3 linked regions of the Caenorhabditis elegans genome follow. The protein of the gene in region 1 interacts with the protein of each later gene in a pairwise test. Each region holds a gene or a part of one and is shown on either strand. Other genes may lie near its edges.

Region 1 (4,416 bases):
TTAGGTGTTTCATAGGGAAGAGGAGATGGACTTTCTCTCTTTGATCTCAAAGCTTTGAGCAATTGTTTGCACAATAGGGAGCACAAAACTACCGTAACCCAAAAAGTTTGAGTAGACTTTAACTGAGTATTGGGCCACTTATGTTTCAATCTAGAAGGTGGGAATTGCATATAGGGGAAAGTTAGTGCGCTCTTCTTCTAAATTCACAAGAATTTATCGCTCAAAATGTGAAGATTGGAACTAGCATTTTGATAGTTAGCATTACGCTTTTTTAAAAATATTTTAAAACCAGAAGTTTTATCACTTTAACAATTTTATTACCAGAATCTTTCATAAATATTAAAACATCTTCAATTTGCATCATTCATAAGGTTTAAATAAAGTTATTGTCTTCTTTTTCCCTTCGTCACTTCCCGTTTCCTGTCCTCCTCCAGGTGATGGTGACTGACTGGAAATACTTAAAGCATCATCTGTTTCAGATCGTTCAGCTCTCAATTCATCTCGATCACTTCCATTTGCATTTGTCTTTCGCCATTTTGCACGACGATTTGAAAACCAGACTTGTATACGTGCTTCTGGCAAATTGGTTCTCTTGACAAGATCAGCTCGTTCATTGGGAGATGGGTAGGGATCGCGGAGGAAGACTTCTTCCAGACTTTGTAGTTGTTCTGTAAGTATAAAAGTTAGACATTTGCTGCAATCTCCATAAAAATGAAAAGGTAAAGCTGTATGAAATTTGAAAAAAAAAACTAACCATTTGTAAAAGTACTCCTCGAGAGTCTTCTAGCATTTGCGCCAAGAGTTGAGTCGTCTTCCGACAAATTCAGATTCGAGTCTACCGATATTTGCCCAGAATTTCCAAAAACTCCAGGACCTCCTGCTCCTCCTGACTGAACAGGCGGAGCCAACGCTCCTGAGTTCAATAGCAACGACAGCTGAGCAGGATTTGGTAACAGTCCAGGCCAAACCAATGGGAATGGGAATGGAAATGCAGGAGGCAGTCGGACTTGTTGAGCACGCGGACGAGCTAGATGTTGAGCCGAAAGGATCATTTGAAGCTCCTCAGCTGCTCGTTCGGCTGCACGAGTACGGAGGATACGATTGATAGATGAAACCGAGGGTGGGGTGGTGCAAACGTCTGAAAATTTGTTGTTTGGATACAGAAATTTAACATTATTTGCTTTTATTAAAATTATTGAGCGAGACGGAGAAATTAACTAAATTTTTAAGATCAAGTTTTTTAAGTCAAAAATTTGAATTCCCATAAAAATTGTTTGAACATGATAAGACTTTTTGGAAAACACAAAGTCAGTAGCCAAGAATTGTCGTTATAAGTTTTTTTAATATAATTCAATTAATTCATCAGGTAACAATCATATTGAATTCAATCTAATAATGCTTGAACATACCTTCACTTATGAGCTTTTCCCTGATCTCCCACGCAAAGATTGTTGGGTTATCCCTTTTGTATTGCTCAATTTTTGCAACGACTTGTGGAGTAGCAACCTACAATTTTTATTTAAATCAAAAACAACTGTTTATCATAATAAAATCTCACCTTCGGTTTTGTTCCAGCACCGCCCGCGGCATTACTGTTGCCTGATGGTTTTCCGCCATCAGACTGCGAAGTTCGTCTTGTCATTTTGCCCATGGTGTTGTGAGCTCCTAAAAACAATTATTCCATTAAGATTTTTTTATATAATAACTTATAAAATTCAAACTTACCCCAAAAATGCAAAAGCTGCTCTTGAGATAGTGGTTGTTGAGCAGCCATAAAAATTTGTGTCGTGGTAAACCGTGAGTGAACCGTATCTAACCTTTAGCTTAGCTTATCCTCTTCAAAGACCCCGCCTACTTTTCTACAGTACCCCACATTGTGTTGAATATATGGCGGCATCATTAAAAGGGGCGGAGGAGTTGTGTAATGAAGTGTTGTACGGACAATATAATGCAGATTAACTGGTTAAGAAGGATGAGTGAGGTCAGAGTTATGATAGGTGCATCTGAGTCCATGTTGTCGAGCTGTATTCGATAATATCCAAAAATGTGAACTGTGAATGTGATACCGTATTTTCACTATCTCATTTGCATCTAATCGTTTAGGACTGGACCAGTTTTATAAAACATTATCAACTGGAAAAATTTGTACTTTTTCCTTATGGTTTTGTTTTTTTTCTGATCTCTGGAAAAATAACCGGGATATAAGTTGTCTAAATCTTTCCGCTGTTGATTTGATTTATTAGAATCATGCACGTAAGTTGATATGGCTCATGAAAGACGATCAAGTGAGCTCTATTTCTATAACCAAATTTAGTTTTAAACATATAATGTGAAAATCTTTATAAATTTGATAAATCCAAAGGAATGTGAGTTGTCTAAAAAGAGCAAAGGATGCCAGACACACAGAAACAATTTATCAGAAAAAAAAACAAGTAAAATAAAAAACTCAATTCTTTGTACTTTCCACATGTAAATTATTGCGCAATTCCTCTTAACCTTTGTCTAATGTACACATGAATGAGCTGTCCCGTGTCCCCTCAAAAGTGTGAAGTACCAGAGTGTGATCTGACAGGACACCGACAACACATCAACACAGAAAACACATAGAAGATATCAGATTTCAATCTGATCTATCTTCGGCGCGACAAGCAGCGACGATGGCTAACGGAATGAGCCAGCAGCACTTGACATTCATGTTCGTGTGCTAATCATCATTGTGCACATCCGGACCCACTTCAAAATTGGGTGTCGGTACAGGAAAATGAGAGCCGAAAAGGGATGCAGAAGTGGTCTTGTTGGATTTACATAACAATTATTGGACAATAAGGCAGGATAAAGGGCAGCTGCAAGACTGTTTGGGAGAATTAAGGAATGCTTTTTAATTTCAAAGTCTAGATTTGATGCCAACTATTTAAAAATGGAGTAGTGCGAATGGGGATTTTGATCTAAAAAGTAGCCAAAATTGAAAAAAAAAATCACGTTTATTTTAGTCGGATTTTTAGTGTTCTTAATTTTTTTCGTTTTTCTTTTGTGGTATTTGGTGGTACCTGAATTTCAGAAAGTTCTGGGTATCGTAAAAATCCCCCACATTCTAAAACGTGAAGCAAACAAAATATTCTGTTAAGTTGTCAGAAGATTTTTAAAAATAAATCAAAAAATCAAAACTTTTGCATATAGTCTAGTGTGACCCCTCCTCCCATCGAGTTGTTATCTTTGATAAGATCTTCCAACTCTTCAAAACAAGGACTTCGATTGAAAATAATTTATTCCCACTTTAACTAACCATCGCGGCATCTCGCATCTTCTACTCACTGCTAACAACACTAACCTACGCTCGAAATGGTCAACATTCCCAACTTTATCGATAAGGTTTTATCAGGTAAATTAATTTAGCAGATTTAAAGTTTCATACTGTAACGTTATAATTTTCAGTCAACGACACTTCTAACGCCTCTCTAACACATTGCATCAAAGAGGCAGATATTGATGGCGTCATCGAGGAATGTAAGGATATCCTCTCAGCGCAAGCGACAATGGTTGAGGTTCAGGCGCCGATTGCGGTACGTTGACTTTTGACTTTTTAGTAAAATAGAGAGTTATTCTTGAAGTTCCTGCCAGAATACGTGTACTTTCAGGTCTGTGGAGACATTCATGGGCAGTATACTGATCTTCTTCGAATCTTCAACAGATGCTCATTCCCGCCGGATCAAAACTACCTGTTCCTGGGCGACTACGTGGATCGAGGACGTCAACAACTTGAAGTCATTTGTCTCCTCATGGCATACAAAGTCAGGTATCCAAATGGGTTCTTTATACTCCGAGGAAACCACGAGTGTGCTTCAATCAACCGTACGTATGGATTTTACGATGAGTGTAAACGAAGATATTCTTTGGCTCTATACAATGAGTTCCAAGTAAGTTTTAGTGCGTTGCGGTATTCTGTCAAACCTCAGTATTTCAGAATTTGTTCAACAGTCTCCCATTGTGCGCAATGATCTCCGGACGAATCTTCTGCATGCATGGTGGATTGAGCCCGGAATTGGTTTCATGGACACAGCTTGCCAAAATCATACGCCCATTCGATCCACCAAACGCGTGCCTTGCAATGGATCTCCTTTGGGCAGATCCAGAGAACAACCATACCGGATGGGGAAAGAACTCACGCGGAGTTTCCTATATTTTTGGAGCCAACGTTGTAAAGGACTTCACGGAGAAGATGAATATCGATCTCATTGCTAGAGGCCATCAGGTATGATATCACTTAATAACTTTTGATAAACAATTTTCAATTTCAGGTTGTTCAAGATGGATACGAATTTTTCGCCGACAAACGCCTCGTGACAATCTTCTCTGCACCCAAATACTGTGGAGAATTCGACAACAATGCAGGAATTATGATTGTCGACGAACGGCTCA
Region 2 (4,416 bases), on another chromosome or scaffold:
AGATTTAGGAAATATTTGAAATCGTAAAGTGAATAAATTTTAGACTAAAATATTTGTTTCCCGCATAAAACTAAAATATCCTGTTATTACTGTTTCTTCCCGAAAACACCTGTATCCACCGAATAGTACAAGCATGTCGCGTGGTAGCTTTCATTCTCCTTGTCCCACTTCTCACTTCTCTCTCCAAATTTCTTCTTTTTTTTTCCAAAATAAAAATTCAAATTCCGTTGTCTTTTCATTTCGGCACCGGTACGCACACACCGGTATCACGTCATTCAAGAAAAAGGGAAAAGGTGGAAAAAGTGCATTTTCTGCGTCTATTGTGATTGGAGTACTATCTAGGGCACGATCGGGAAGAAACAAGGGAGTAGAAGGAAATTGAAAAGATTTGGGAAAAAAGAAGTGTGAAACTGTTGTACTGTACAAACAGAACATTTTGAATTTTAAACATCAGAAGCTGGAAAAGTTTCAGAGATTTGGTAGTCTTTTTATTGGAGCTTGGAAGTTAACATTTCATGATTTACTGGCCAAAACGTCCCCTGATTTAAAATATTTCGAGTAAATTGATGAATTATTGAAAATCTTTTTGGAGATATTTGTAGCTCGGTTTTGAACTTGTAAATATTTTTAAAAAATTTCCGTAACGGGTAGTCATATTGAAAATATGATAAAATGTTTTGGAAGCTGAGCTTTTTTGAGATCGCATCAATATAAGTTCCTGGCTCTGGTAAATCTATTGAGCTCGGTGTCAGTCTAATCAAGATCGATGTCAGCAGAAGCTGGCTGTACAGCCCTTGATTGGACTGAGTTTCAGAAAGCTCAAATGTTGTTTTCAAAATGCAACCTAGCTTCAGATCATAACGAAAGTATAGCATGTTTCATAGAAATTGGAAATACTTTCTTGAAACAAGTAAATGATTATTTTGCACCCAATGTTTGATGACTACCTCATGTCTTTCATTAGTATGGCATGCAATTTCAAAATTTAAATTATAATATTTCCTCTATTTGTCCTCTACTACTCTACTGCGCCATTTTAAAAAAGTAACAGCTCGGTCCATTGTGAAGATATTAGTGAATAAGTAAATTCAAGCGACAGACAAATAATTTTTGAAAAATGTTGTCAGTTGGCAATTTCTCAATAGAACAAATGACAACTGATATAAGCTGTAAACGTTTAGATTTTATTTTATTTGAGCTAGGCCCCTCTCATCCAAAAAGGTTATTAAAAGTTTATTGCCTGTTAAATTTATAGACTTAGACATCCATCCAAATATTTAAATGTTGCTGTTGCTTTTGGGTCAACAAACGACACATACCTGTTAGTGTCATCCTTCGTTCCGCGTGCACGCATCGCACTGAATCATCGGTATTCATCACCTCTTCTCTGCAATCAACGAGCCAAATGCCAATTGGGTTATTTGAGTTAGAAACTCGGGAAGCTTCACAGAAGAAATAATTAGCTGAATTGGCAAAGAGAGCACCTGCTCCCCGGAATGTCATACTTTTGTAGAATAAAAGAAGGGAAGACGACGACGTCTCCGGTTCTTCTATCCCAAACAATACCATTTTTTGTTTCCCATCTCGTCTTCGATGTTGCTGACTCACCATCAATATCTAAACAGAAAGCACCCAATGGTTCGCCTTTTTTGTCTCCTTTCTCGACAGTTTCTGTTTTTTTTTGTATGTTACATAAATACCGTACACCCACCATCTAGTCAATTGTCACATATTCGAAATCAAAAGTTATCAAAAACTCTCGTGCACTTTAATACACAGTTCCGTCGGCCACCCCGTCACCAGCCGGCGTTTTCTTGGTGATATCATTGGCGGTGGCTCTTTGAAAATTCAAATTTGGTGTCGTCCTCCCGAAGGTGTGGGCGGAGCTTGCGCACCGTTCGCGGTGGCCGTTGCTCTCGACAGTTTTCTCTTTCCCTCGCTCCTTTCTTCTCTCAACCAAACACCTGCCCACACACGCAACTTACTTTTGTCATCGCTGGTCCCCTGTCCAAAGATACAATCAACCCGTGTTGTGCTAATCATCACCTAGAAGAGTCATCTTCGTGAATCAGAATCCCTTTTCTTCCCCCTACTTTTTCCACTTCTATTCCCGGTTACTCACCTTCTGTGTTTGGCCCCGATCGTGTGTCAGCACCTCTGCTATATAAGAGAGTGGAATGTTCGAACAACCATCGTCGACGACTAACACCACCACGAGCTCTGGTTCTGGCTCCGATTCCAATCACTACTTCGAATTGGGTCCCAGGAACCCGATCAACCAAGCGCACCCGACATCAGTCATTGTTCCACCGCGACAACATCACCATCAGATCCACCAACAACAAACCGACAACTCACCTCTAACTCCGTGTACACCATATTATCCATCAAATGCATATGGACTCCCTTTATTCTTTGGAACTGATTTCCTGCAGGTATGATACATCACAAATATCTTCCTTAATTCAGTGTTTACTTCAAAGTCCACTATTCCCTTGCTAATAATCACGAGTTTTGATAGAGCTTTTAAATCATTACTTTCACTCATTTTTCACTCAACCTCGAGCCTTACATTTGTCAGTTGATCTCTTCTTTCCCATATAAAAATGAGATTATAGTAGCTTACTTTCATTTAGTTTAATATTAATTCTGAAAGTATCAAACCAAAAAGTAAAGCGTTCACTAATTCTTTTGTGCAAAAGTCATGCAGAAAAAAGTTACCTAGCTCTTGAATCTTTTCCCTCAAAAATGTTCTTACCAGCCATCTCCCCCGGATTTTAGTTCCGGAAAAATAAAACTATTTGGTTATGGATTAAATGTATATGGATAGGTGGTGCACGAGGAATCTTAAAAGAAGATGCCGACGTGTTTACACACTTCTACAGTAATCTATCTATCTTTCACCTTTCCCCCAATTGTTACTTTTGTGATCTTCTTTACCTCTCATGCACTCGCTAATCCGTTTTGGATTGTTTCCTGTTTGCACCTGTTGAAAAAAGATAAGTAATACTTATATGTTAACTTTTTTCGGTGCCAGTGAAAATATTACAGGCACGCAAATTTTTTAAATATTCAAAAAATATCTGTCACTTCTGCTTTGAGCTTGGGACCTACGAATAAAAAGAGATCACGTGTTTTAGCGTTCCTTCTTTGCGCTGACAACTTTTTACCAGTTTTCTTAGAATTATTGTCGCTGAAGACCAGACTTACAAAAATAATTTTTGAGCTTTATTTGTAAATAAAACAAACTTTAACAAAAAATGTAATAAACTGGCAAATGTGAACTCAGAACAATTATATTCACAGGTATTCTATTTCATTTTGAACATGTAGGTGTGAAACAGTATTCTTTTCAGTTCTAAATCAGTTTAACCCACTGAGAATTTTGACAAATGACGGTGAAAAAGGAAGAGTTGATAAAAAAATGATAAGACAATTGAAACCTTTTAATTATCAATTTCCAACACTTACTGAAAGAAAAACTATTTCTAGCGAACGCACCAATGTAGAATACCCATCTTTCTGCTTTGTTGGTTTTTGATAGGCTTTGATAAGTAGATTTTAAATTACCGTATATCTTCTATTAATATGGCCTCCCTATTAGACTTGCACTCCCTATTAGTATTGCCCCTCGGAGACCTTCCGAAAATTAGTATTGCACTCCCTATTAGTCTTGCACTCTCTAATAGTCTTGCGTTAACTTTTTTGTATTGCAAACCCGTCTCGCTAATTTCAGGATTTCAACAACATTTTTTGCCTATTTGGCAACAGTTTTCACATCATTTCTACGAGATTGAAGTTTTTGAACTTATATGAAAATCAAATTTTCTGAATTTTTACATATGATTCGAGCTTTTTCAGGAAAAAACTAGTAAGCTCAAAGTCAGAAAATGTTCTGAAAATTAGTATTGCACTCCATAATAGTCTTGCACTCCCTATTAGTATTGCAAGCGGGAAGGAATCGAAAAATAGTATTGCAGCCATATTAATAGAAGAAATACGGTATTAAATTATCAAAATTTACGAAAATATTTGAAACATATTTCATCAGTTGGAACAATACAGATATAATTCGCTGAAATAGAGCAAAAAGTGAAACAACTTTTTTATATTCTGAGTTTTACATAAATGTTTTCTTTTAATTTTTGCTTGATGTAGGTCATCAGGACAACGAATTCTGGTTATTACGGTTCATTTTATCACTCTACGTCTTTTGAAAATTTTTGCTTATACTGCTATCTAATTGCCAAAAAAAAGATTATAGTTTTTGAAGTGTCTTGAGTCGTAAACCATCTCTCTTTCTTCACAGTCCGCCTTTAGTCCTATAGTCAATCGTCAAACAAATACCGTATTTCCTCCTAGAATGGGCGGGGCGTTCTTTCCCCCTTCACCTATACACACACTTCATCATCTTCA
Region 3 (4,416 bases), on another chromosome or scaffold:
CTTATTCTAATTGTCAATTTAAAATTTAAAAATATCTTAAAAACTAAAAAAGCTATTGAAAAATCGCTAACCACAAAATTATAGAAAATTAAATTTTCCACAAATTCGCAGTTGACAACTTTTTCCAAATTTATCCGGAACCAAGATAGACGTATTAGAAGTTGGTAGTGGCCGAGGTTTTTCACCTCCACGGCCACAAGGCCAACACCCCCCAACTCATTATACCCCCGTGGTCCTAATGTGGTAACGCAATAATCTGTGTGTGCGTATGTTCAAGTACACATACCCCAAAAACTTGCGTAATTTCTTTGAATTTACCGCTATTCTGACATACGGAAATTTGAATATTATCGGGGGAAACGCGTGAAAACGTATTGAATGGAAAAAAATGTTGAAAATAATTTTAATTTTTTCGTGAAACTGGGAAATAATTTTCAAAAAAAACGTGTTTTTTTTTCAAAGTCGCCAACTAAAAATCAATAATCGAAAAAATCAGTTTCGAATTTTGTTTAAAAATTCCATTCCACTGAAACGAAGAAGAAGCCAAATGATTGCACAAGTCAGTTTAAGCCTGCCTGCCTGCCTGCCTGCAAAAAATGCTCCGAAATTTACAGCTCGTGCTTCCAATTCTTGTGATTTTCGGATCTCTGGTGATGAATTGTGGCGGAAAGAAGAAGAAGTCAGCAAATTCTCCGGAAGGAACAAATAAATCAAAGTTAGGGGCTCCAAAGGAGAAGAAGGATGAAACTGTGAGTTGTGTGACCGCGACGCGACCGCAACGCGACCGCAACGCATTGTTTAATTAATTTTGCTGATTTGGGATACGTACCACAGGTTTCTGCCTTCCCTCCTATTCTGAAATGTAAGAGTTTTGCCGAACTAGGCCATTTTGGCTCAGTAGATTTACGGGGCGTTGCGTGTCGCGTCGCGGCTCGGATTTGTCCGTGTGAAGTACACGACACTTTCCCACGCGTTGTCCGGCAGGCGATTGTCAATAGAGCGCGAATAATGCAATGAGGAAGGTCCTACTTTTAAAGAAACAATTCTGATTTCAGGAAGGCAACTACGAGGAGCTCGCCGTGCCACAATAATTTTCAGGATTCTCATTTTTCACTTGAATAAACCAGTTTTATTGGGATTTTTGTGTTAATTTTTGAATTTTTGAATTGGTGCCTGTTTCATGTGAAGCATTTAACAAGTGGAATTTACAAGGGAAAATTGTTAGCAAGTTGAAGTACGAGCGTTTTTTACAGAAGAAGTAGTATCTCCTCAGCCATTGTAGCTATCAAAAAGTTGTCAACTGGGAAAATATTTATAAATTTATGTTGAACATTTTTTTAGTTGGCAACTTTTCACTAGCTCCGATACTTTTTCAGTTATGGTAGTTTTTCGCGCAAAACTCCAACTAAAATTACCGATTTTTAAGTTTGAAGGCTTATATCTCCTTAGCTATTGAAGTTATCAAAAAGATTTTAACTATGAAAATATTGCAAAATTGATTTTAAACATTTTGTTGGTTGACAACTTTTTATTAGCTCTTACACTTTTCAAGTTATGCCCAGTTTTCCCCACGGAACTCCAAGACATGCCCACCTATTGCCACCTCGTTATACATTTAGGACCACCACCAATCTCTTTTGCGGTACATTATTCAACTAACAGCAGACGGTAGTTAGTTAGTTAGAGAACAACGACGCAACGATTGCGCCATTACAGTTCAAATCATCATAAAAAGAGCCGCCCGTCTTTAGAGACCCCGTGGGCAAATGGGGGAGGAGGCGGGTCTAGTAGGGCCTGTAGAGGTGTCCTGTTTGCGTGCAGACTTTTTCTCAGCATGCGGTAGCTCATAAGTTCCGGTGTAATAGTTTGGTAACTGTTGAGTAATACGGTTTTGGTTTTGAAAATTTAAAAAAAATTCTGTTTCAAAAAAATTTGTTTTATTATAATTTTTTTCAACTTATTACTGTGTTCTTTGGAAGCTTTTTCCTAAATTTCTAGCCATTTTCCACCAATTCTCCACCAATTTCCAGATTATTTCCAGATGATGACAGACATTCAACAGCAGCTGGCTGCCTCGAGAATGTGTGATTCGGATTCTATAAAGGCATTCAATCAGATGTACGCACAGAATCCGTATGGAGCAGGAGCTTTTGATAAGGTTTGTAATTTTTTTTGGAATTTTTCTGAAATTTGAAAAAGTAAAAAAATTTTTTTACTGTTTCAAAAATGCTTTTTAACAAAAAATTAAATTTTTTTCTTAGAACTACTCCGCAGCCACTGCTCTCCCATTTTTTGCTCAACATTTCGCGCCATACGCGAATCCCCATGCCACGTCATCTTTTTCCCCGTCATCGTCTTCCACGTCATCCACCACGTCGTCTCAAAATCAGCAGAGTGGCAGCAGTGGGAGTAAGAAGAAAAAACCGGTTCCGGTGCCGGAAAATCAAAAGGATGAGGTAAGAGATTAAATGGCCGAGAAATGAGAAAACTCGGCCACCAGAAAAAAACGGCCGATCTGCTAGTGTTAGATGTGGCCGAGAAAAAATGGCGGCCGAGGTTTCCTGGATTCCTTCTGCCACAGGGTTCTGGTTTTCCTCATTGAATGTTTCGCGCTCCATTGACAATCGCCCGCCGGACAACGAGTGGGAGAGTGTCGTGTACTCCACACGGACAAATCCGAGCCGCGACGCGACACGCAATGCGACGTAAATCTATCCCAGATATGGCCGAGCCAAAATGGCCTAGTTCTGCAAACTCTTCCATTTCAATTTATGAGGCCAGAAAACCGTGTTCTGCTATGAAAATTGAACTGTTTTTTTTAATTTCCGCTGGTTTTCAAAGTGGTGGCCGAGTTTTTTCTCTAATTTCACTGCCACGAAGTTGAAAAATTGATTTTTTTAAACTGAAAATAGAGTTTTTTTCTGATTTTTCAGTGAAAAAACGTTATTTTGGACCAATTTTGCTGATTTTTCTCGTATTTTGCATTTAAATCGAGATAAGTTGACAATTTTAATGTAAAATACAAAAAAAATCAGCAAAAAAGATCCAAAATAAAGTTTTTTAGCCGTATTTTTCTTAAAAAGGCGTATGAATTAAAAAGTCGTATGAATTTAAAAAGTCGTATGAATTAATAGCTAGCCACGTGTCGATTTACGGAGGCCGTGTACTCCTCGTGGAGTTGATTTCTCTGGGTTTTCGTTTGAAAAAAGTATTTTTATGCCAATTTTGCTGATTTTTCTTGTATTTAACGTTTGAATCGGCAATTTTTGAGTTAAAAACTATAAATTATGTCATAAAATGACAATTTACCATCAAAATCCAACAAAAATCAGTGAAAATTGGCCAAAATCAAGCTTTTCAGCCGTTTTTTTTTCTTCAAAAAACCAGTGTAAACTCTTCCACGAGGAGTACACGAGCTCCGTAAATCGACAGCTAATAGTCCAAAATCCTCTCGAATAAATCCAATTTTCCAGGCCTATCTCGACCGGCGCCGCCGAAACAACGAAGCCGCCCGTAAATCCAGAGAATCTCGCAAGAAAGTCGATCAGGACAATAGTGTTCGTGTAACATATTTGGAGAGGGTACGTTTTCAAAATTTCCCATAGATAATAATCCTTTGCATCATTTTTTTTGGCGGGTTTTTTTTTCCAAAAAAGGGCTTAATTGATGACGTCATCAGTCAACAGGTGTCAGCCTGGCTACGCAATAACTTTGAGAACGCGCCCACGCCGACTTTTCCCAATTTTTCAATAAATTTCGGGAATATCAGATGGCTTTTTGTAGATAACCGACACTTTTAAAAGTACTTTTTGATAGTTTTGCAAACGCGCTCTAGTGCACACGTACAGTAACGTTTGTTCCCTTAATGGTGTTCCACTTTTCGATATGTTCACCAAGAATGGTGTTGGAAAGATTTGTTGGTTTGGAGCAGTAGGTAGTGGACGCAGTTCGGTGTGAGCACTCGTTGGATCAATTCCAGGGAGTGGCTTTTCTTTTTTGTTTCGTTAAAGTTTAACTTTACTTTTTTTTCGGACTAAAAATAAAGAGTAACTCTGATAAAAGGCTTAGTTCTGACGGCATAAAATTTTTATCAATCAATTAATAATTATTTTTTCTCCAGGAAAATCAATGCTTGCGAGTCTACGTCCAACAGCTCCAACTACAAAACGAATCGATGAGACAACATTTGCTCCTGCAAAATCCGGGCACTATAGACACTATGGACCCGATTGCCATGGCGAATATGCCGAGTTATTAAGCTTCTCCCCTCCCACACAAAATCATCTCATTCTTGCACACACATTCAAATCCTTGCTTCTGTATCGAATTTCCACACACCACCCTCTCATTGCGTCACTTTTTTTTTGTAATTTTCTGTAAAAATATAGCTATTTTTGAAGAAAAATGCATTTTTTC

What was found.
Region 2: the proteins of eyg-1 (region 1) and fos-1 interact in a two-hybrid assay, tested with the Caenorhabditis elegans proteins (one large-scale study listed by BioGRID).
Region 3: the proteins of eyg-1 (region 1) and zip-7 interact in a two-hybrid assay, tested with the Caenorhabditis elegans proteins (one large-scale study listed by BioGRID).

The regions. Positions count from the first base shown.
Region 1 is NC_003280.10:9,826,153-9,830,568, forward strand, and holds eyg-1 (Homeobox domain-containing protein), read right to left. Parts: upstream 1,801-4,416; 5' UTR 1,775-1,800; coding exon 1,726-1,774; intron 1,666-1,725; coding exon 1,559-1,665; intron 1,507-1,558; coding exon 1,410-1,506; intron 1,139-1,409; coding exon 755-1,138; intron 669-754; coding exon 361-668; 3' UTR 296-360; downstream 1-295. Other genes in the region: ZK938.1 (Serine/threonine-protein phosphatase), read left to right, coding at 3,340-3,379, 3,433-3,560, 3,636-3,914, 3,962-4,249, 4,296-4,416.
Region 2 is NC_003283.11:6,006,389-6,010,804, forward strand, and holds the start of fos-1 (Transcription factor fos-1), read left to right. Parts: upstream 1-2,177; coding exon 2,178-2,435; intron 2,436-4,304; exon of another isoform or gene 4,305-4,359; intron 4,360-4,416. UniProt on the Caenorhabditis elegans protein: Developmentally regulated transcription factor which binds and recognizes the enhancer DNA sequence 5'-TGA[CG]TCA-3'.
Region 3 is NC_003282.8:16,503,295-16,507,710, reverse strand, and holds the start of zip-7 (BZIP domain-containing protein), read left to right. Parts: upstream 1-2,028; 5' UTR 2,029-2,041; coding exon 2,042-2,158; intron 2,159-2,261; coding exon 2,262-2,456; intron 2,457-3,473; coding exon 3,474-3,581; intron 3,582-4,120; coding exon 4,121-4,258; 3' UTR 4,259-4,416. Other genes in the region: Y51H4A.935 (uncharacterized protein), read left to right, coding at 548-559, 615-749, 1,056-1,091.